Ovis aries: one gene and its partner. The main gene of each other region encodes a partner of the protein of the gene in region 2 in a complex. Links are inferred from orthologs where the notes say so. Each region holds a gene or a part of one and is shown on either strand. Other genes may lie near its edges. The genes, in order: LAT2 and STAP1.

Region 1 (10,278 bases), on a different chromosome or scaffold from region 2:
GAGGGCAATAAAATCATTACTGGCCTGGAAACTTATCTTTTCTAAGCGGGATAGGGAGGCAGGGAGATCAGAGATGCTTTCCAGGTCACCAAAGGGCTCTGTCAGTAGCACCAGGATTCCTCGGAATTACTCTTGAAATACAGAATATGCTTACCAGATTTTTTAAAGTAATGTTTCAAAATATAAATGAAGATGTTACAAACTAAAAACACATGAAGTATATGAAGATTTCCTGCAAATTGGTAAGAGAAAAAGAACTCAGTGGAAAACTAAGCAACAATGAACAGGCATTTCGCAGAAGAGGAAATAAAGTGCTCAACCTCAGTAGTCAAGGACCTGCATCAGGACTACAAAGAAAATACTATTTTACACCCATCCAAACAGCAAAGATCGAGAAGCCTGACAAACCAGTTGCTGCTAAGTTTGTGGGTCTTCACATGTTACAAATGAGAGTCACTGAGTACAGCCACTGTGGGAATTAATTTGAAATGAGCATTAGCCTGAAAATTGAATGGTCCCACACTCTAGCCCAGCGGTTCCTCTCCCAGAGATGCACCCAAGAGAAATAGCCCCACAGCTTGTGTTAATTTTATACACACACACACAAACCACTTTACAAATACCTATATCCAGAATAGAAAACAGTTTTTTAACTATGTATAGCACAGGGAACTATATTGAGTATCCTATGATGAACCATAATGGAAAAGGATTTTTTTTTCTTTTTTAGAAATGTGTATGTATAACTGAATCACTGCTGTATAGCAGAAAGTTATACAACACTGTAAGTCAACTATACTTCAATTTTTTAAAAGTACTTTGAAGGCTAAAAAAAATATGACAAAAACATCACTTAGTTATGAGGGAGGCAGAAGAATGAAGGAATATTCTTGGTTCTGCTGGGTAGTGAGCTTAGGACCAAAGAGAAATGTCATAAATGCCTGGGCGTGACGGGGGGCAAGAGTGATTCTTGTTTGCATCGTAAAGGTTGAGAGTGGCAGCAGCTTTATAGACAGACTCCAGGGGCTTCGAGAATGTTGTATATGCTTCTCAATGTGCATATATCTGAAGAAAGTCCATCACTTCCCATCAGCCTTGAAAGGATGCCCCAGAAGATTCTCAGGGTTAGAACTTAAGATCTTAGAACTGCTGTGTTACTACTTAGCTTGCTTCTGTAACAATTGTGCACACAACTGACACTCAGCTGTGAGCTGAAAAGCCGGACAGTCCTGTTTGGAGTGATGAAGACAAGATGGTGGTGATGGCTGTATGGAGCTGTGAATAATTAATGCCTCTGAGGTGCCCACTTAGAAGTGGGAAAAAATGGTAAATTTTATGTTACATGTATTTTGTCACAAAAAAAAATACCAGAAACCACTGAATTGAAAAAAGAGTTGGGGGCACTAGTATCTATATAACTGGACACAAAATGGCTATTGTGGAGAGGGGTTGAAATGTCTAGTTTTTTAAAGCTTATCTTCTAACTCACATCTGAATGATCTATAAATAGAACTTGGAGGAATTAGAATTGCCTACAAGGGGGCAGTGGAGCCTTCTGGATTCAGGAGTGGATTCAGATTGAGTGGCTCCTCCTCCCACTCAATTTCAAAAAGCGTCTTTGGGTTGAGAGACCCTTGTTTTTTATAGATGGAAAATGGGCTCAGAGAGGATCTTGGGTGCCACTGTGGACGGACCCTGAGACTTTGCTGGCAGTCAGCAGTCGACTCCGCATCCTCCATAAATAAGAAGGCCCTTGACAGAAGCCAGAATGTGAAGCAGAGCTCCATTCCCACTAGACACGTTGGACCTCCTGTCCATCTCTGCAGATAGAGAAACCTGGGCAAGCACACAGCCCAAGGTTGGATGGAAACCAACACAGACTTGTCCCAGTGGGTGAGGAGGGGCCAGGCAGGCGGTCCCAGCGAGCCCCTGAACCCATGAGTGGTGAAAAGACAACAGGCTTTGGGGTCTGGGTTGAAATCCAGCTTAGCCTCTCAGCCTTCAGCCAGCTTGCCTAAGAAAACGAAGGTCTTCTTGCAAGAGTTGCCAAGGGACTTACACATAGTGCTGCCCCCACATGGAATGAGGGAGGCACCCACGGTTCTCAGGCGCAGGTTTGGAACTCTGGTGAGGTTGGCTTTAGTCCTGCTGACCCCACTTGCAGGGGTGAGGACAACCAGCACTCGGGGCCCACGAGGTAGCCCAGGTCCCCACGCCACCCTTCTCCCCCACAGGGTGGCAGCAGTGAGCACCCAGCCCTGGCGGTTTTGGTCTTCCCACTGGGCCTCATTCCTAGCCTCACCTGGCAGGGCTGGACTGGGACCAGAAGAGAAACCCCGTCCCAGCAGAGAGGGGCCCAGAGCTGGGGAGCTCAGGCTCTGAGATGCCAGACAGATGGGGGGTTGAGGTGCGACCCCTGAGGGCTTCCCTGGGGCCCCTAGCAAGTGGGGTAAGAGTCCAGCGGCCTTGGGCACGTTGTTCAGTGACCACTCACAGGAGGTGCTGGGGGACCCAGCCACCTGTCCAGCACCTCCTCACCTCTACGGCCGGATGCTGGGGCAGCAAGTGGAGAGAGTGGCTGGCTCTGCACCTCTATGAGCCTCATCTGGAAAATGGGAGTAAGGGGGCCCCTGGGTCTGGAGGAGCGGCCATGCGTGTCCTTCCTTCTGCCCTTCACCTGGGGCTCCCTTCCTCTGGTGCCGGTGTCTGTCCACTCCGTCCATCTGTCTTTGCCTCTAGCCGTTCGTTACGTCTGCCCTGGCATGTGTCTCTGTGTGTTTGTGTGTCTGTGTTTCTCTTTCTCATTCTTTAGCACGTGTATCTCTTTCTTTGTGTGTGTGTGTGTGTGTGTCTCTCTCTGGTTTTCTTTGTGTGTGTGTGTTTTGGTGTGGGCGTGTATTTCTGTGTGTGTGTGTGTGTCTAGTGTGTCCGTGTCTCACTCTCTGGCTGCCTGTGTGTGTCTGTGTTTCTCATTCTTTAGCACGTGTATCTCTTTCTTTGTGTGTGTGTGTCTCTCTCTGGTTTTCTTTGTGTGTGTGTGTTTTGGTGTGGGCGTGTATTTCTGTGTGTGTGTGTGTCTAGTGTGTCCGTGTCTTACTCTCTGGCTGCCTGTGTGTGTCTGTGTTTCTTTCTCATTCTTTAGCACGTGTATCTCTTTCTTTGTGTGTGTGTGTGTGTCTCTCTCTCTCTGGTTTTCTTTGTGTGTGTGTGTTTTGGTGTGGGCGTGTATTTCTGTGTGTGTGTGTGTGTCTAGTGTGTCCGTGTCTCACTCTCTGGCTGCCTGTGTGTGTCTGTGCAAGCACCCCCATTTCATTCTTCACTGCCTTTCTCCTGTCTCTCTGTGTGTCTCTTCCTCCCTGAGATGGGGTTTCACGTGTGTGTATTCAGCGAGCATGTTGCGTGCGTTTGTGTTTCCACGTCTCTCTCTGTCTCTGGGTATCCCCGCCTCCGTCTATTGCAAGCAGGGCCTGTCCGGCAGAGCAGCGGATGTGTGAAGGCTGATTCAGTGGCTGACAGGAAGCCCGCCGCCCTGCCTGCTGCCCGCCAGTGTCTGTGGCGTTGGCATCGGCTCGTGCAGGTGTGCGTGCTCAGGATGAGGTGGCCACGGTGAGGAGGCCCCCCGCTTCAGGTAAGCCTTTCCCAGGGGTACCTGGAGCCTGGGCCTGAGGCCAGGGTCCTGAGGCTGCCCCCCGACACCCCAGGGGGATGGGAGAGGCCCTGTTGTCCTGGCAGGAGCATCTGGTTGCCCGTTGGGTGGGCCGGGAAGAAACCAGGACGCCCCACACCTCCTGTCCTGGTGCCCCCCGGCTAGGGGCCCCTTGCCCCAGCCCCTGCAGCACCCCAGGGGCAGTTGTTTCTGGGGCTCCGGCCCCTCTCCTGCCCTCGCCTTCCCCGGCCCAGCCTGCACAGCCCTGGGAAGCACCCAGGGTGGTCCCATCACTTCCAGAGACTGCTGAGGGGCCAGGACAGGGATCCCGGGGTGGGGGGGGCTCAGGAGCTTTGGTTTCTTCATCTGTAAAATGGGACTGTAACGACCCTGCTGCGGAGCTACGGGATGATGGGAGAGGCGCTCCAGGCGAGGAGGCCGAGGTCCTGCCCCAGGCCCGGAGGAAGAGCTGCCCCGGCCGCCCCCCCCCCAGCCCCCAGCCTGGCCACCAGGTGCCTGCCTTGGGGGCTGTTGAGAAGATACAGGCCCTGGGGTGCTCCCAGGGCTCTGCTCTGTCAATGGGAGGCCATGGCCTTCCCCTTCCCCTTCCCCTTCCCCTGCCCAGAACAGGAGCTTCCCTGGGGCCCTGCACCAGGCGCCTGAGCATCAGCCACCTCCATTAGAGACCTCTGGTGAGCCTCATCTGAAGGCCAAGGTTCTTTGGGGAAACAGAGCAAAGCCCAGCCGATAAAGCCTTCCAAGGGCTGGGATGGGAACCTCTTGACTCCATCCCTACCCCGCAGCCTGCCCTTTGGCCCCGGCAGGCCTCAGTTACCCCATCCACAGCAAGAGGAGGGCTGGGGGGCTGGGCAAGAGGGACGCCAAGGGCCTTTGGGGGCGGGAGGCTGGGTGCTGGGGCCGCTCAGCCCAACCCTGAGAGCTCTTCCGCCGTGGGCTTGTTGCAAACCTTGTTCATCTGAAAACTGCCCACTTCCCTTTCTGCTATTTTGGCCTGCAGGCCTGGGGCTGCGGTGGCCTCCTCTCCCCTCCCCACTCCACCCCGGGCGGCCTGGCCCCCGGGGGCCCTCCTGGCGCTGCGGGGGCCCAGCCCCTCTCCTTTCCCCCGCTGCCACCCCACCTGTTCTCAGACCTGGGTGGGAAAACAAGCAGAGAAGACAAGTTGAGTCCGTCTTGGTCTCGGGGAAGAGGCAGTCCTAGTTTCTTCCTCAAATGAATCTTTTTTTTTTTTTTTCCAAATGAATCTTTTAAAAACCATATTGTGTGAGTCTTTTTTAAAAATGTAATTTAAAAAAGGATTTACAGGAAGGAGTGTAGGCCTAGAGTCCACCTGCCCTGAGTACAGGTCTTGGCTCTGACTGCTCAGCTGTGTGACCTTGGGCAGAGTACTCACCTCTCTGGGCCGCCCTCTCCTCCCTTGGAGAAGAAAGGAGCCGACCTCTCCGAGGGGATGCCGTGTGGCTCTGTGACAACTGCGGGGCCGGGTGCAACAGCCACGCTCGCCTTCAGATCCCAGGGTCTCCCAGGGTCCCAGCACGACGCCCCTCCTGGGGCAGGCTCAGGCCTGTGTGTCTGGGGGAGCAGGCAGGGAGGGCTTCAGGCAGGGTTGCCCCATGCTGTCCAGTGCAGGCCAGCCAGCCAGGATGCAGCTAACCCCTTCCCATCCTGCGGGGACCGTGATGATGACAAGTCACGGTGGGCACAGCCAACTGTGCCCCACACCAGCCATCAGCAGCGCCTCCAGGTGTCATCTCAGCACTGGGCCTCCTATGACGAACCCGAGGGTTGTGTCATTTTTTCCCTCCATTAACAGGGTGACCGGTGGCATTGGAACTCAGCTGCTGGGGCAGAATTTGTGTTCTCATGCCCTGCCCCCTTCCCTCACACAGTGCCAGGCGGGGGGAAGATGGACCAGGGCTAGGAGCATGCCTGACTGTGGCTCATCCCAGAACAGCAGAGCCAGGAAGCAAGAGGGCTCTCTGGTGTTTGGGGGTCCTCGGGGAGGGAGGGCAGCAGAGCTCAGCAGCCCAGATCCTCGGGCCTTGAATGCCAAGCTGAGTATGTGGACTTGCCCCTGGGGTCTCAAGCAGACCCCAAGGGTGGCCAGTGCTGGACCCTTGTCCCACGGGAGTAACCCCCCGTGGGTCTACCCCCAAACCTCCTTGGGGGCAGAAAGAGCCTTCATCTCGACCCAAAGATAAACGTGTCAAGGGTGGGCACTCAAGGGAACTGTCCAAACCAGCTGGCCGGAAGTGTGACACTCAGCAAGTTTCTCTTCCTGAAACCCTGACTGTGGTCCAGGCTGGATGTGTGTGTACTCTCCACAACTGTTGGAGGAAGGCCCTGGTCGATCCCAGTTTTACAGATGAGCAAAGTGAGGCCAAGAGACCCTGAGATACAGGTAGGGGTCCCCCTGTCCAAGACCAGGGGCTCCCAACCTCACCAGCCCTGGATGGACTTGGGCCTTGGCTGGAGGCCCAAGAGGGAGGCGGCCCTGGACCAGAGGGAGGTCTGGGGAGGGTGGAGGGTATGCGGCCTGGGAAGACGGTGCCCCAGCTCCTAGAGGACGGGGAGCTGAGGTCCCCTGGAACAATATCCTGGGGGTGACCGGTCCATCCTCTCTCCTTATATGGAGGCCACTGGGTCCCAAGGTCTGGGAATGGTGGTGTTCCCACAGACTCACTTGGCATTTGCGGGAAGGAGAGGTAATTTCTGCATGACGGGCCGCTGACAGAGGCTGAGCCCTGCACGGAGATTTCCTGTCAGCTTTGAAACGGGGATTCAGGAAGCTTGGGGTGGTGAGCGGGGCCACAGGGTATGGTGCAGTCCTCTGGGGGAGCCAGAAAGAAGGAGGAGGCCTGCACAAAGCTCGGGTCTCCTTCAGCCTTGCCTCCCGCAGCTGTGAAGCGAGAAGCCTCCTCCCAGGTGGCCGAGGCGGGAGGCACAGGTGTTCACAGAGGGGATGCTCCATAGCATGGGGTCCACGTGCCCACCGTGGGGCACAGGCCCCGCAGGACCCCTGCTGTCCTCTGCCTACTGTCACTTTGCAAAGGAGGCTGAGTCTCTTTAGAGTTGCAACAAATCTCCCTGGAGGGCCCCTCAAGAGGGCTGAACTTGCACTCAGCAGGCCTTGCTAGGTGGCTGCCTGCAGCTTTGCTGAGGCCCCGAGGCTGGGACCAGCCACTGACCACAGAGTGGCCTCTTAACCCCATCTCCCAGTACATTCCTCTACCAGCCACCAAAGTCCCTCCGCCCAGGCGCCCTTCCCCCCTTCCTGGTCTCAGGCCCACCTCCTCCGAGAAGCCTCCCTGACCTTCCTCCCAGCTCCAAGGACAGGAGGAACCAGAGCATCTGGGTAGACAGGCATTTTAGGAATGGAAAACGCACCCCCAGCTTCCCCAGGAGGCCTTGGGTGGGAGCAGAGAATCACCCTAGGGTGGATGGGGGCTCTGGTGTAGAAGGGGCAGTGGACTCTGAGCTTGGGGAACAGCGCTGGGTTCGCAGGAGGTTTTATCACAGGATGAAAGAACAGAACAAGCATTAGGGTCTGGAGTCCTTGCATGCGTGCTGGGTCACTTCAGTCATGTCTGACTCCTTGCGAAACTGTGTGGACTGCAGCCCACCGGGCTTCTCTGTCCATGGGATTCTCCAGGCAAGAATACTGGAGTGAGCTGCCATGCCTTCCTCCAGGGGATCTTCCTGACTCAGGGATCGAACCCTCATCTCTTAAGTCTCCTGCACTGGCAGGCAGGTTCTTTACCACTAGCACCTCCTGGGAAGCCCCTAGGGTCTGGAGGCTGGCATTCAAATCCTGCCTTTCCCCTTTGCAGCTGTGGAATTTGAGGCTTCCGTTTCTCTGTTTGTGAAATGGCTCTAGCCTCCCCCTCGCGGGGTGGCTGGGTGGACTAAGCAAAGGTGTGCGTGGGAGTGTGCGCTTACAGGCAGGTTTCCAGAACCTTCCAGCACTTGATGATGGCCCTGGGGGACCTGAGGTGCAGGTCTGGGGTCAGATGAGCGGACAGGGCTGGTTCTGACCCGTCTGGTCCCAGAGCAGGGAGGGTAGGGGACGCTGGGCTGTCAGGGGACAGTTGGGGGAGGGTTCCTAGCAGGGGCAGCCCTGTGGCCCCCACCCTGGCTCACAGTGCCCCCTGTCGCAGCCCTGCAGGAAGAAGAGCGTCCCGGAGTGGACATGAGCACGGACACAGAACTGCTGTGGCCGGGGGCTGCTCTGCTGCTGCTGCTGGGGGCAGCAGCCGGCCTGTGTGTGCGCTGTTCCCGCCCAGGTAAAGCCTGGGGGTCGTGGACCTGTGGGAGGAGTGCGCGGTGTCCCCAGAGAGCCGCTCAGGCCCAGACCCGGCTGCTCGGAAGGGGCAGTCAGATAAGCCTGGGGGCGCAGAAGTGAAACCCAGGGACACGGCCCCTGATCGTTCTCTGAAGACCACGGGTCTGACTGAATGGGAGTGTTGGTTCTCCGGGGTCAAAGGCATCTGTCTGCGCATGGATTGTGCCGGACAAGGGAGGGGAGAGGGGGCTGGGCTGTCTGCCTTCACGGTCCACTCTCCTAAGTAAATGGTGAGCAAACCTCGCCAGGGTCAGGTGGCCCCCAGCGATGAGTGGCTCAGCCCCCATGTCTGGTCTGAGGCCTGCCCAGGGCAACAGGGGAGATGGTTGGGCCTCGATCTCAGCTCCCACCTGGCCCTGGGGGGCGGGATCAGGGAACTGGCTAATCTGGTCCTGCTCTTGCAGGTGCAAAGAAGTCTGAGAAAATCTATGAGCAGAGGAGTCTGTGAGTGTCTCCCCAGCCCAGTGATGCTGTGTGTCCTGCCTGGGCGGGGGCCGTCCCTGTGGGCCTCCCCTCAGGCACCTCGCCCCCACCCCTCACCCCTTCACTTTCACCTTCTCCATGCTGGGCTCCAGTGGGTCCTCAGCACTTAGGGGAGGGTGAGGGGGGAGGGTGAGGAGGTGCCCAGGGACCGCCCAAACCCTGCCCCAGACTAGTTGGGGAGGGTGGGAGGCACGCTCCAGTGAGCCCAGGAGCGTCTCCAGAAATCCCCGCCGTGACCCCACCCCAGTGGGAACTAGGCTGTGCTGGGGGGTTGACAGAGGAATCCCGCCCTCCCGTTGCAGGGACAGGGACCAGGGACCAGGTGCTGGGTCCGAGACAGCATGTGGGCATGAAACTTGGGGGGATCACGGAAGGCCTCCTGGAGGAGGCGGGAAGAATCTGAAGAGACAGAAGGGAAAAGGGGGACATTCCAGAGAGAGAGGGGACATTCCAGAGAGAGAGGGAACAGTGTGGGCAATCACTGACTTCAGGCCGGGGTGGACACTGCCTCGGGTTTGATGCAGCTGGAGTGAACATGTCTTGAGAGTAGTGAGCTGAATTCGGAGGAAGGAGAGTCTTGAACGTGGCCCGAGGCCTTGGCCTTTGTCCAAAGGGCCAAGGGGAGTCGCGGGAGAGCTGGAAGCAGGGCAGTGGTCAGGGGAGATGAAACATGAAATGCTGGCACTGACCCCAGAGCGTCAGGACCCTGGCAGGAGGGCTGCGGCCAGCGGTGTGCCGGTGGAGGGCTCCGAGACCTGCGTGCACACACGTGCACAGGCCTGCACGCCCACGCACACCCACTGGCTCCCCCAGCGCTCATTCATGCATGCACTTCTCACACACACACAGGGCCTGCTTGCACGCCTGGGCAGGCACTCACATACAAACTCGCTCACACACCCTCTTCTCATTTCCTTTTGCAACTGAAAAACCACAGTGAGATTTGAAAATAGAATTTTCCCATCCATGCCCACTCCAAGGGCTGGGGCCGGACCTTCCCAGCCTTTTGGGGTCCCGTGGTCCTCTGGCTCGCCAGCCCACAACCTCCACTGGGGGCGTGGACTGGACTACCCTGGTGCCCTCCCCACTGGCCACACCCCTGCCCCAAGCCAAGTTCCTCAAAATCTTCCCTCTCCCCTCCTCCCTTAGCCCCTGCCCACTCACTCCAGTCCCCCGATTAATCTTAGAACTGAAGATCTTCAGAGGCACAAGCTAAACCTCCCCATGTGGGAGGTGGAGAAAGAGGCCTGAGTGGGAGGAGATCAGAGGGGAGACTTGGGCTCTCCCCGCCTCACTTGGGTTCAGTCCTACCAGCCTGTGCCAGGCCCAGCTCCTGTATCATTTCCTCTGGGAAGCCAGGCCAGACTCTCTTCTGTGGATTTAGGGCCTTGTTCCTAAATCAGATCACTTTCACCCCTCAAGAGCTCCTGAAGACTGGACCAGGTCACCATTCTGGTCCATGGAAGAAACCCAAGAGGCTTTTATAATTAGCTAATCTGCTCCACTATCCTTAGTGGTGGCATTCATTCCCAAAGGCACTTCATGGGCCAAAATGTCAGCTAAAGCTCCAGCCCTCATCTCTGCATTCCATGCAGCAGTAAGAATGAAGAAGGAAGACAAAAAGGGTGCATCCCAGTTGGGAGTGCCTCCTTATTTAGGTTTCACATATAGAATATTTAATTTCTATTTCTGTATACCCTATACCAAGCTTACCAATGAACATTTAATTTCCATCTGTCATCACACAGTTCATCCCCTTTACCAATTTTGCCCTCTCAACGTTGGTAAA
Region 2 (10,299 bases):
AAAACCCAAAGTGCAAGTACTGCCTGATTCTCTGCTTTTGTCACATTTATCAAAGCATGACCCAATCTAGATTCAAGGGGCAGGAAAATAGACTCAGTGTCTTTATGGAAGGAGCAGAAAAGTCATATTTCCAAAGGGAGTGTATACAGTGAGGAATGAACAAACTGATGGTAGTCCTGCAGCAACCTACATCAGGGGCAGAGATAGAACTTGGAGCACAGTTTCTCTGTCCAAGTCTTGTGCTCTTTCTTCTTCCTCCTACCTCTCAACACAGAGTGGGCTATAACATAATGTAACGAACTTGCTGGTGCTTCCTGAACCAATAACTGAAGACCAAAGAAAAGAACAATTCCAAAGGGCATAGGATTGATGTTATCAGCCAATAGATGGTCCCCAAAGGAGCAACTGTAAAACTGCGCAGGGATTTTTCCTCTTGTCTGAAATCCAGATGCCAATATATACCTGACACATCTTGGAGTCAAGCAGTTTAATAAGGCAACAGAATAAACCTTAATTTCAGCCCCCATCAGAAGTCTTTTATTTCCTTATTTTCACATAGGATTAAAAAAAAAAAGGCATTGAAGTAACCCTTTGCCTGCTGTCTCTGCTGCTTTCATTCGCCCTCCAGTCTATCCTGAATGGTACTGCTAGAATTACTCCTCTGCAGACAGTAGGACTGAGTATCTAAGAGGTAAGTCTGAGAGACAGGGTCCTCAGCTCAGTCCCTTGCCGTCATCTCTTAACTCAGCCTACCACACAGAGAGGATGTTCTGCTCTGTTCCTGCTACATGGCAGAGGGTCTCCAAGAGGGATAGGCAGAGGTTCACTCTGTGGTGGGGGAACTAATAGCTCATATGCAGCAACTAAGAGTTTGTACGCTTCAACTAAAAAAAAATCCTGTATTCCGAAGGAAGATTGAGGATCCCATGTGCTGCAACTAAGACCCAAGACAGCCAAATCAATTAAAAAAAAAAAATCCTAAAGACTACTTAAATCTGGGGTAAAGTGTCAACACAGTTTTAGTCTTGAGTCTAATCCATATATTGATAGAATTTATTAATAAGAGTAACATTCTTTCCACATGGTAATTGGCATGAGTGTGTAACAGTGGTGGCATCTAAAAATCTCTAAAATAGATCTCTTTCAATGGGATTCTGTACAAGAAGAAATTTTGTAAACTAGAATAATGAAATTCATTGTAATTCCTATATGAAATCATGCTTTCATACGGTCTTAAGTAAAGAGAGAGAAAACTGCATTGAGAAATTTGGTTTCAAAAGTTGCCAACCTATACTGTCTGTGATCAGCCCAGTGTTCTGTAAACACTGTGAAAGTATATTGTCACTCTGTTGAAAGAGTACTTGAATTTTCTCAGAATTGACTTGAGATTAAATAATAAAACAATTCGGTTTTATTGTGGAGCTTTAAAAAAAATCGTATCTCTCTTTTTAAGGCTTTTACATTCTGCTCTAATAGGAAGTCTCTTAATGCAAGGAGCAAGTCAAGGATACATGATATTTTGGAACTATGATGGCGGTGAGGAAGTGGGGAGGAGTTTGGAACATAGGCATATTGGTTAGAGAATTGAATCACAGATTGTGTAGTTTTACTGAAGTATGGCATCTAAGATCAAGGCCAAACCCGATTTTATGATTCCTGGAGGAAAAGAAAACAAGAGAAAAGCCTGTATGAAAGTCTACCACTCTGTTAATCTTCTTAATTAGCCTCATCAGTATTAACCTACCATAGATAGAAAAACTAAAATCAGTAACAGCAGTCAAAGTGTATTGCATTCCCTCTATATATATATGCATACATGCATCTATGCTTCTGAGAAAAATTATAGAGGTGTTCAGGCATGAGAGAATGGTATGAATTGCAGAGTTAATGAAAGAAACATGGGAGCATTACTGATAAATAAACATAGATTTTTAGAAAGGATAAAGGAGGGTTTATTAAATGAGGGAAGAAGCAAGAACAAAAGACACTGAGTTGAGAAAAAGGCAGCCAGGAGGAAAAGGAAGATTATAAATATCAGTGGGCTCTGTGAACACCCAACCATAGCCACAAATCTAAGAATACTTCTAATTTACATTTGGTATGCAGAGAACTGCAGGTCATAGTCTTGATTTAGTTTCTGAGAAGTGCTCCTGGAAACTAGTATAATTTAAGTCATCTATAAATATCAATTGTAATGACCAACATATAGGTATATATTTATATCTACAGAGATAACATAAATATTTTAAAAATTAAATTTGAAGGACCTGTTTTTGAATTAAATACATTTAATACAAGATGTCTTATTTTTAAGCAGTCACTTGTGTTCAGTTGCTGAAGTAAAAAATACTGAAATGGGCCTTTTGAATTTATCACTAGCTTCATTATCATTAGATGACCTTGTATTTAGAGTCTAATGTGACTATTATTTTCATTCATTAAGCAGTGTTTTTGAAAGTCTACTGAGCTTACTGTTGAGCTCAGTGTGATGAAGAATCTAGTGATTAGACATCCCCAATCTTGAAAAACCCAATAAATGGATTTTTTTTTTGAAAAGCAGCATGATGTCAAGTGCTTTGCAATAAAATCCCAGCTGGGCTCTTTATGGTGAGGCACTTTGAACACAAACTCTGTGAGCAACAATTCACCCATCTTGAAGTGGATAAAATTATTTCTACCCAGAAAAATTATTATAAGGACCAGAGAGACAAGACATTAAGAGCCTAACATATCTCCCATGTCAACACCTCAAGAAAATATATAGTCCATTTGATCATCACAGCAACCCATTCAGTTATACAAGAGAGTAACTGTCCATTTTACAAAACAGGAAACAGATGAAAAGATATGAGGGATTGCCTAAGTTCTACAGGAGGACTGATACATCTCCTGGCACCCAGGACTCTTTTCTCGTTGATGTAACTACTAAAATAGGTGACAGTGCAAATCCAGTAAAGTTCCTCTCTATCCCCTGTCCCCAATAAAAAGTTCCTTCCTTTTTTTCTCTTGTGAGTGAATAAAGGTTCTTTGCTTAAGGAAGACCGTTGTATAGTAGTCTACAAAGCGTGGCACTAAACCCCGGAAGCATGTAAGATGATCTCATTGGGGAAGAAACTTTTAGAATATCTCTATTTCATTTATTTCATCTTTCTTAATTCTTTTCTTGCATATAGTCAGTCATTTTTTGGACTTAGTGCAGGAGCACACCATAATTTCTAAACTAATATTCTTATGTTAGAGATCTACGTTCAAAATATTTTCTTGAAAGGAGTGTGTTACTTTAAAAATTTGGAAAGCACTAGCACAGAGAACTTTTTGACAGCACAGCCAAGTCCTAAAATTTTTCTAAATGAATTAGTGGCAGTTGGAGGACTAGTGAGAGAAATGTTACTTTGAAGCTATTTTAATGGTCATATTCTATGTTCAGGCTAATAAAACATATTACATATCATTGTTTTAATTTGAACACATCACAGTTTGAAGAAACTGTGAGATGTTGCCCAAATTCTCTCTTATTTTCAAATAGTTCCCCCATAATAAGAATTTTGTACATTTCTAAAAGCTGTAATGCCATGGATATCTCATTGTAGCACCTAATGGCTTTTATTCGGAGAAGGCAATGGCAACCCACTCCAGTACTCTTGCCTGGAAAATCCCATGGACAGAGGAGCCTGGTAGGCTGCAGTCCATGGGGTTGCTGGGAGTCGGACACGACTGAGTGACTTCACTTTCACTTTTCACTTTCATGCATTGGAGAAGGAAATGGCAATCCACTCCAGTGTTCTTGCCTGGAGGATCCCAGGGATGGGAGAGCCTGGTGGGCTGCCATCTATGGGGTCGCACAGAGTTAGACACGACTAAAGCGACTTAGCAGCAGCAGCAGCAGCAGCAATGGCTTTCATTATCTAATATATCTAATCATCCAGAATTCTAGTGTTGTGGGTTAAGTAAATTTTCCCACATTTTCACCATAAAAATTATGTACTTTTATGGGTTCTTGACCTCGGATCCATGGAACTCTTGGAATTGTGGTTAAAATGGTATATGTTGGCACATTTTCTTAAGGGCAAATCTCCTTAATTCTTAAAAGTGCCCCTGTCAAAGAAGACCTTCTATATACCTTTGGTTCACCTCCCTTTCAAAAATTCTTTGGCACTATGCTGCCACTTGTTTAGAAATCCTAGTATTCTCCTTAACTTTCTCTCGATGCTTCTGTTTTCAAGCAATCTAATTATCACCATGGCCCTTCTTTGAGCGGGATTAAAAACTGATTTTCATATGTTAATAAGAATGTGATAGATAATAAAATAGAAGGAGAATGAATCTAATCTCTAGTATGAGGCAGGTGTTTTATATTTGTTATCCCTTTAATCCTTGAAACCACCTTGTTAGTAGACATTACTGTCGTTCTCTTGCTCTCTTCTCTCTGATGTATAAGTAAAAGATACTTTACTATGAATTCAAGTGGAAGCATAAGTTAATTTCCTCCAAAACTTTTGCACCTATAGTTTATTCTTTCCATTTCAAAGTATGCTTTCTAAGAAAAGTTAGACTGGCATTCGGGTAAGTGAAGTGAGTCATCACTTCTGACTAACCTAACCCTCACGAAGGTAGGGGTTTGTATTTTATTCATATTCTCTGAAACTGAGTGTGATGTTTGGTGCATAGGAAACACAAAATAAACACCACTTAAATGAATGAATTGATTAAGCACTGACTGTATCCCAGGCATTCTACCTTGAGAGGTAAGTCATATTCTCTCCATTTTATAGTTGAGGAAATTTAGTCTCAAGGAAATTAAGTAACGTGTATAAAATCACAGGATATAAGTGGCAAAACCATTAGGTAAAGACATGTTTTACTGACACTCTAAAATCCTTGTTTTTTCTACTATCCAGACCAATGGAATGCCCTTTTTAAACACTAAAGGGAACCCAGTACCAGAAACAGTCATTACAAAGTCTTTGGAAAAATTTCAATAAATAGACAAGTTTAAATTATAGTCTAAACATTTCTTTTTCCCAACTCCCCTTTCCTGGCATGTAACTGACAGATATTACTAATTCATGTTAATACCCATAACAGAATACAAATTACCATGTCTTTCCTCTCCAATATTAAATTATCTGATTATATATGCAAGAAATATGATTGTGCTGCTACAGATATTTTTACATACACAAATTTTCTGTAAGCATTAATAAATCCTCAGAAAATATATTTTTGTTATTAAACATTTCTTAAGGCATTTCTCAAAAACCTAATTTTTTTCTAGCTTCAGTTAATGTTAACATTTCATAAAATTTGACCTAAGTTAATTATTTCTTTTTTCTTTAGTCACAGACACTTCTGTGTTTATGTCTTATTCATTTCAAATTATCCACAATTAGTATTTCAAAAGCACTGATTTTAATTAATTATGTTTTCATTTTTACATTTAAAAAAATACAGAGTGCTTTGTGAATTTTCTTAGAGTGAATGTATTTATGTAGCTTAGCGTACACCTACCCATAGAGCACCCTAAGTATCATCTTTTAAAATCACTATCTTGAAAGTGTCTTAGAACATATAACTAACTATATAGAATCTTAAACATTGTCAAGTTTATCATTGTCTCAATTTTTTCAAAAGTTTATCATAAAAAATAATTTGATCATTATTTAAAAACTTCAATCAAACAGAATAGGAGCAGAAGTTTTAATTTCAGGAATAGTATAATTTTATCTTAATAGTACATGTCATCATGGAAGCATAGTAGTACATGCAGAGAAAATATATACCAAACATTTTATCTTCTAAGCTAAACTTTTCTGTGATGTTTAAATACATTTTTTGGAAATTTAGGAATTTTTTTTACATTAGTGACAACATTAGAATCTTATATTATTATACATAATATATATATGCACATGTGAGTTCAAGCCATATGTTGTATTTAAATTATGCAAATTGGGATCATATTTCTTACCTCAGGAAAGAAGGTTCAATTTTAGCAGAAACAAGAAGGCCCTTGTTTCATCATGTCACCATAAAATAAATTTTACATTAAGACAGAAGCTTCTAGTTTAATATGATCATCTGTGGACTTACCTGGTATTCTGACCGCTTAACTAATAAAAAACCTTCAAAGTACAAGGGTAGAGCAGTAATCTTTGACCTTTCTTGGAAGATCCTGCGAGGGGCTGGTTTCGGGGGCTTCTTAGCCATCATACCCTCTCGTTGGTGTGCGGTTAGTTTCAACTTTATCCAGTTTCAGACAAAATGAGATCTCCCTTGTGTGAGAGGAAAGGGCAACTGTTCAAAGAGGAAGTCCCAGCTAAGAGTTTAAACCACCAATAGGACACACATGCACACTTTTTTTTCTTTATTTTTTGTGAGGTAAGAAAGAACAGGCGTAGACCAACTTTGATAGGGTAATCTCTCAGGAACCTACATGTGTTTAGACTTACAATAGCAAAATAAACAGAAAAGTAATATCACCAGAGGATGAAGAGAACAGATGTGGAGATTATGGACTTTCAAGGAGACATCAAGGTCATGTTTGTTTTCTCCCACCTTTTTTGTTTGTTGCTGCCCGGTTTTGTCCTGAGAAGACATGACTTGAATTAGTTCCACTTCATTAAAAATTACTTAATAGGATAACTATATTAATACTATTTCTGTTTTAGGTACAGCTGGTCTTCTATCCAGATTCTACATGGATTGAATTGACTATACATAGAAAATTTTAGAAAAAAAATTCAGAAACTTCCAAAAGGCAAAACTTGAATTTCCCATGTTTTGAAAACTTTTCATATATTGTATTAAGTATAATAAATAACTGAGATGATATAAAGTATACAAGAGGATTTTGTAGGTTATATGCAAATGCTCTGCTATTTTATATAAGAAACTTGAGCATTCAAGGATTTTGGTATCTGTGGGGGTCCTGGAACTGATCACCTACTGATAGCAAGGGAGGACTGCATTTCAGAACTGAACTTTGTTTAAATTATTAGAAAAATGGTGCTATTTATCCCATGCCCATTTTGATGGTTCACTAAATGTAAACGGCAGTTATGGGAATGTGATATTTTTTACTTCTTTGTTAATCAGTATTTTGAGTTGGTCATTTACCAGTGGATATTTGGCAAAATATGTCTGGAAGAGAAAGCTGTAAATTTTCAAGCTTATATTTTGTTCTTTTTTCTTTCTAAGCAGAGGATCACTGGTGCTATGATGCATAGATGAGGTATGGCTACCTAGTAAGATTTATAGAGCTACACTGAGGCCCAAATGCATTAATTATTTGTTTGTGGAAAATGCTCCTTGAGAGACTGGATTTGGTACAGCACTGTGCAAAGAATGATGGGAGAGAGGAACACAGAAGGAAATCTGGTTTGTTTTGCAGGGGTCTTGAAAGGTTCCACCATTTGCTATTTCACGCTTAGCATTATTACAGAGTTGCTTGAGGTCTAGAATGCAGCCCTGAGCATTCTTCCCTGTTAGACTAGCCTATTCTCATCAGTCAAAGCAATACAGGAATCTACAATCTGAGCCTCCTTTCCTAATGGAAAGACCATGTGGTTTTCCCCACCAGTATGGTTCTATTGGATCTTCAGCTGTAGGTGTGAGGAACCAGACTGTCTACAAAATGAGGTATGATGAAATAAAATTCCTATTTTATAGCCAGACAAGAAAAATTTAAACATAAAATGTTTCTCTTCCCACTTGGGCCTCTTCTCTCCCCTTCAGTGGGTTCAGTATTGTGTATCTGCATTAATCAGGCCTTCCTGGGAGATAACCTTCCTTCTCAATCTGGTAAGGAGGTGTGATGACCCACCACTTGCTTTGTAGTGGCATGTGTAAACTGTCAATATGTTTTTGACCTAAAACTCTTTGTCTCAAAAACTTTTATGATGGTGTTTTGATCTCTAATAAGCAGAACAATCCTTAGAACTATCTGAAAGGTTGTTCCCAAGGTTATAATCCTCAGGTTGGCTTGAATAAAGTTTTCCATTTCTTTCTTAGATGTACTATTGATTAACTTTTTCATTCACATGCATGGTGTAGTTGGCAACATACAAGCGATAACCCACAAGAAGATGCCTGGAATCTTCCCTGACTGGCACTCCACACGAGTATGAGTCCACTGAGCCCCACTGGCTTCTTAGTACTCCTCAGAACAGTGAGTTCTCCTGTTATCTGGATCTCATTGCTTTTAAGTCATAAGCCTGAAAATTTTATTTGAGCTATTTTTATTCAAGACTCGGAGTCTTAGGGGCACTAGTGCATTTCCTAAAGTCGAGATCTAGGGGAATCTGGGGAGGAGGCCCAAGGAAATATGAGTGGTTAGATTTCTGTTAAATTTGGCTTAAGTTAAAAAAAAACTTGATATATAGTCTGAATAAAATATTTCTAGTGAAATGAGAAACTGAATTATTCAGCTTCAAAGAAAAAAAGGACATTTGTTCCTTTGGGCCACAAAGTATTCTCAGGTGACTGAGCATCTAGAGGAAATGTCTGAAGATTAATTGTGACAGAAGTTCTATGGAGAAAGGAATTCTATAGAGAAACTCATTGCAATTGCATAGAATTACAAATAAGTTCTTCTCAGGCGGAGCAATACAGACTGATTATCAGTAAACTAAAGAGTGTTCAGATACATTATGAAAATGAAAACAGCTTTGTCAGGAAGCATTTAACAGGAGGCTTCCTGTGTGCTGTTTTGGATCTGTCAGGAATTCTCTGTTCCTTATTAATTACTGAATACTCAGGAATCAAGAGGAGAGGCAAGCCTCTCCTGGGGGCTGAGGAGTCCAGGCATTTCTTTCATTACTTTTTCTATATAGGGATATGTACCCTCTTCCTTCTTGTGAACCATACGGTAAAAGTGATTGTTTACAACTCTCTCTATATATATGGATCACCTATGTTTTGTAAGTCTGGAATTTTAATCTTTATCTTTGCTTAGAATAACTACCTTGTAAGACAGTATATATGCCCAGACCATGTTGATTAAAACACCTTTGCTCCATCAGAGCTCTGGTCCCCGTGTCTTTCTTTCTCTCTCTCTCTCTCCCTTCTCTCTCTTTTTCAGGCTGATCCCCTGGAGCACAGAGGCTCTCTGAGTTCACTTTCCTGCCTGGGCTTCTAAGACCCTCTCAAGAAGGCGCTCTGTGCCTTCACCCCATCGAGAGAGTGCCTGAGGCTTTCATGAATAGAGCAAGCCCCGTGCAGGTGCTTTATTGGCTTTCTGCGTAAACCAAGGAATATCAGCCTCTTTCTCTCTCCTTTACTTTCTTATCGGTAGACTCTAGACCACCAAGTTCCGGTCCATTAAAGGACCTCAATACAGCTTGAAACTGAAATTGGGAGATGAAGATTCAGAATTACTGCCTTGCCTTTATATTGAGACCTATTTCTTGCTACCCCAAACTTTAAATGATAAAATATAAGTCCAAATACATTTTTTGAGACAAAGCCATAATTAATTTTTAGTTTCAGTATACTAAGGAAGTGATTTGAGTGGTAATCATCAATGGTTGGAATAGAAGAAAAGTAGTCACTGGCCTTATGGCCAGAGAGTTTCATGGGAGAAAGAATATCTCTAGAAAAATGTAAAGATAGGAATATATTTGAGAAATAATTGTCTAGTTAATTATGTCTTTCTTAACTTAAAAAATAAACTACAGAAACCAGTTCAACAGCTTCTGTAAGTTTCTTTGATTTGCCAGCTTGCAAGTAAAATTGATCCTTAATATAACAATGCTCAAATTATATCCCCCCAAACTGACAAAATGCAAAACTCCTGTTGAAATATTATTATCTAGTTGGACCTGTCCATGACTTTCAACATCATTATACCACTGCACCATTACAATAGAAATCCTCTTACAGATATTGCAAGTTTTAGGTGGTGAATAATAAATTTGTAGGTAAGAAAAAGTGTTGAAGCAGAGGGAGAGAAGCCAGTTTTGCTGCTAACCAGCTCCAGACCTTGAACAAACCAGTTCACTTCTCTGGGATAACAGCTTCCTCATTTCTTGCCTTAAGAGCTGCAACAGGCTGCTTTCTGCATGCATGCCAAGTCGCTTCAGTTGCATCTGACTCTGTACAACCCCATAGACTATAGCCGACCAGGTTCTTGCCATGCCCTTCTCCAGAGGATCTTCCTGACCCAGGGATGGAACCCATATCTCTTAAGTTCCTGCATAGCCAATCAGATTCTTTACCACTACTGCCACCTGGGAAGCCCCGGCTTCCTTCTGCTGCTGCTGCTGCTGCTAGGTCGCTTCAGTTGTGTCCGACTCTGTGCGA

Evidence for each region.
Region 1: the proteins of STAP1 (region 2) and LAT2 are in contact, whole or in part, in a crystal structure (PDB 3MAZ), measured with the Homo sapiens proteins. The link is inferred for Ovis aries from reciprocal best matches to the Homo sapiens genes STAP1 and LAT2. Residues at the interface, in NP_001304698.1 of Homo sapiens: Arg184, Arg203, Pro204, Gly205, Ser206, Ser212, Ile215, Gln217, Ile219, Lys225, His226, Tyr227, Lys228, Glu239, Leu240, Glu241, Tyr255, Phe256, Glu259, Thr260, Arg261, Asn263, Leu264; in NP_054865.2 of Homo sapiens: Asn134, Ser135, Tyr136, Glu137, Asn138, Val139, Leu140, Ile141, Lys143.

The regions. Positions count from the first base shown.
Region 1 is NC_056077.1:33,641,656-33,651,933, reverse strand, and holds the start of LAT2 (linker for activation of T-cells family member 2), read left to right. Parts: upstream 1-3,478; 5' UTR 3,479-3,628; intron 3,629-5,965; 5' UTR 5,966-6,029; coding exon 6,030-6,065; intron 6,066-7,821; exon of another isoform or gene 7,822-7,829; coding exon 7,830-7,947; intron 7,948-8,410; coding exon 8,411-8,450; intron 8,451-10,278. UniProt on the Homo sapiens protein: Involved in FCER1 (high affinity immunoglobulin epsilon receptor)-mediated signaling in mast cells.
Region 2 is NC_056059.1:84,109,287-84,119,585, reverse strand, and holds the start of STAP1 (signal-transducing adaptor protein 1), read right to left. Parts: upstream 6,301-10,299; 5' UTR 6,211-6,300; coding exon 6,091-6,210; exon of another isoform or gene 1-6,090. Other genes in the region: CENPC (centromere protein C), read left to right, coding at 8,123-8,167. UniProt on the Homo sapiens protein: In BCR signaling, appears to function as a docking protein acting downstream of TEC and participates in a positive feedback loop by increasing the activity of TEC.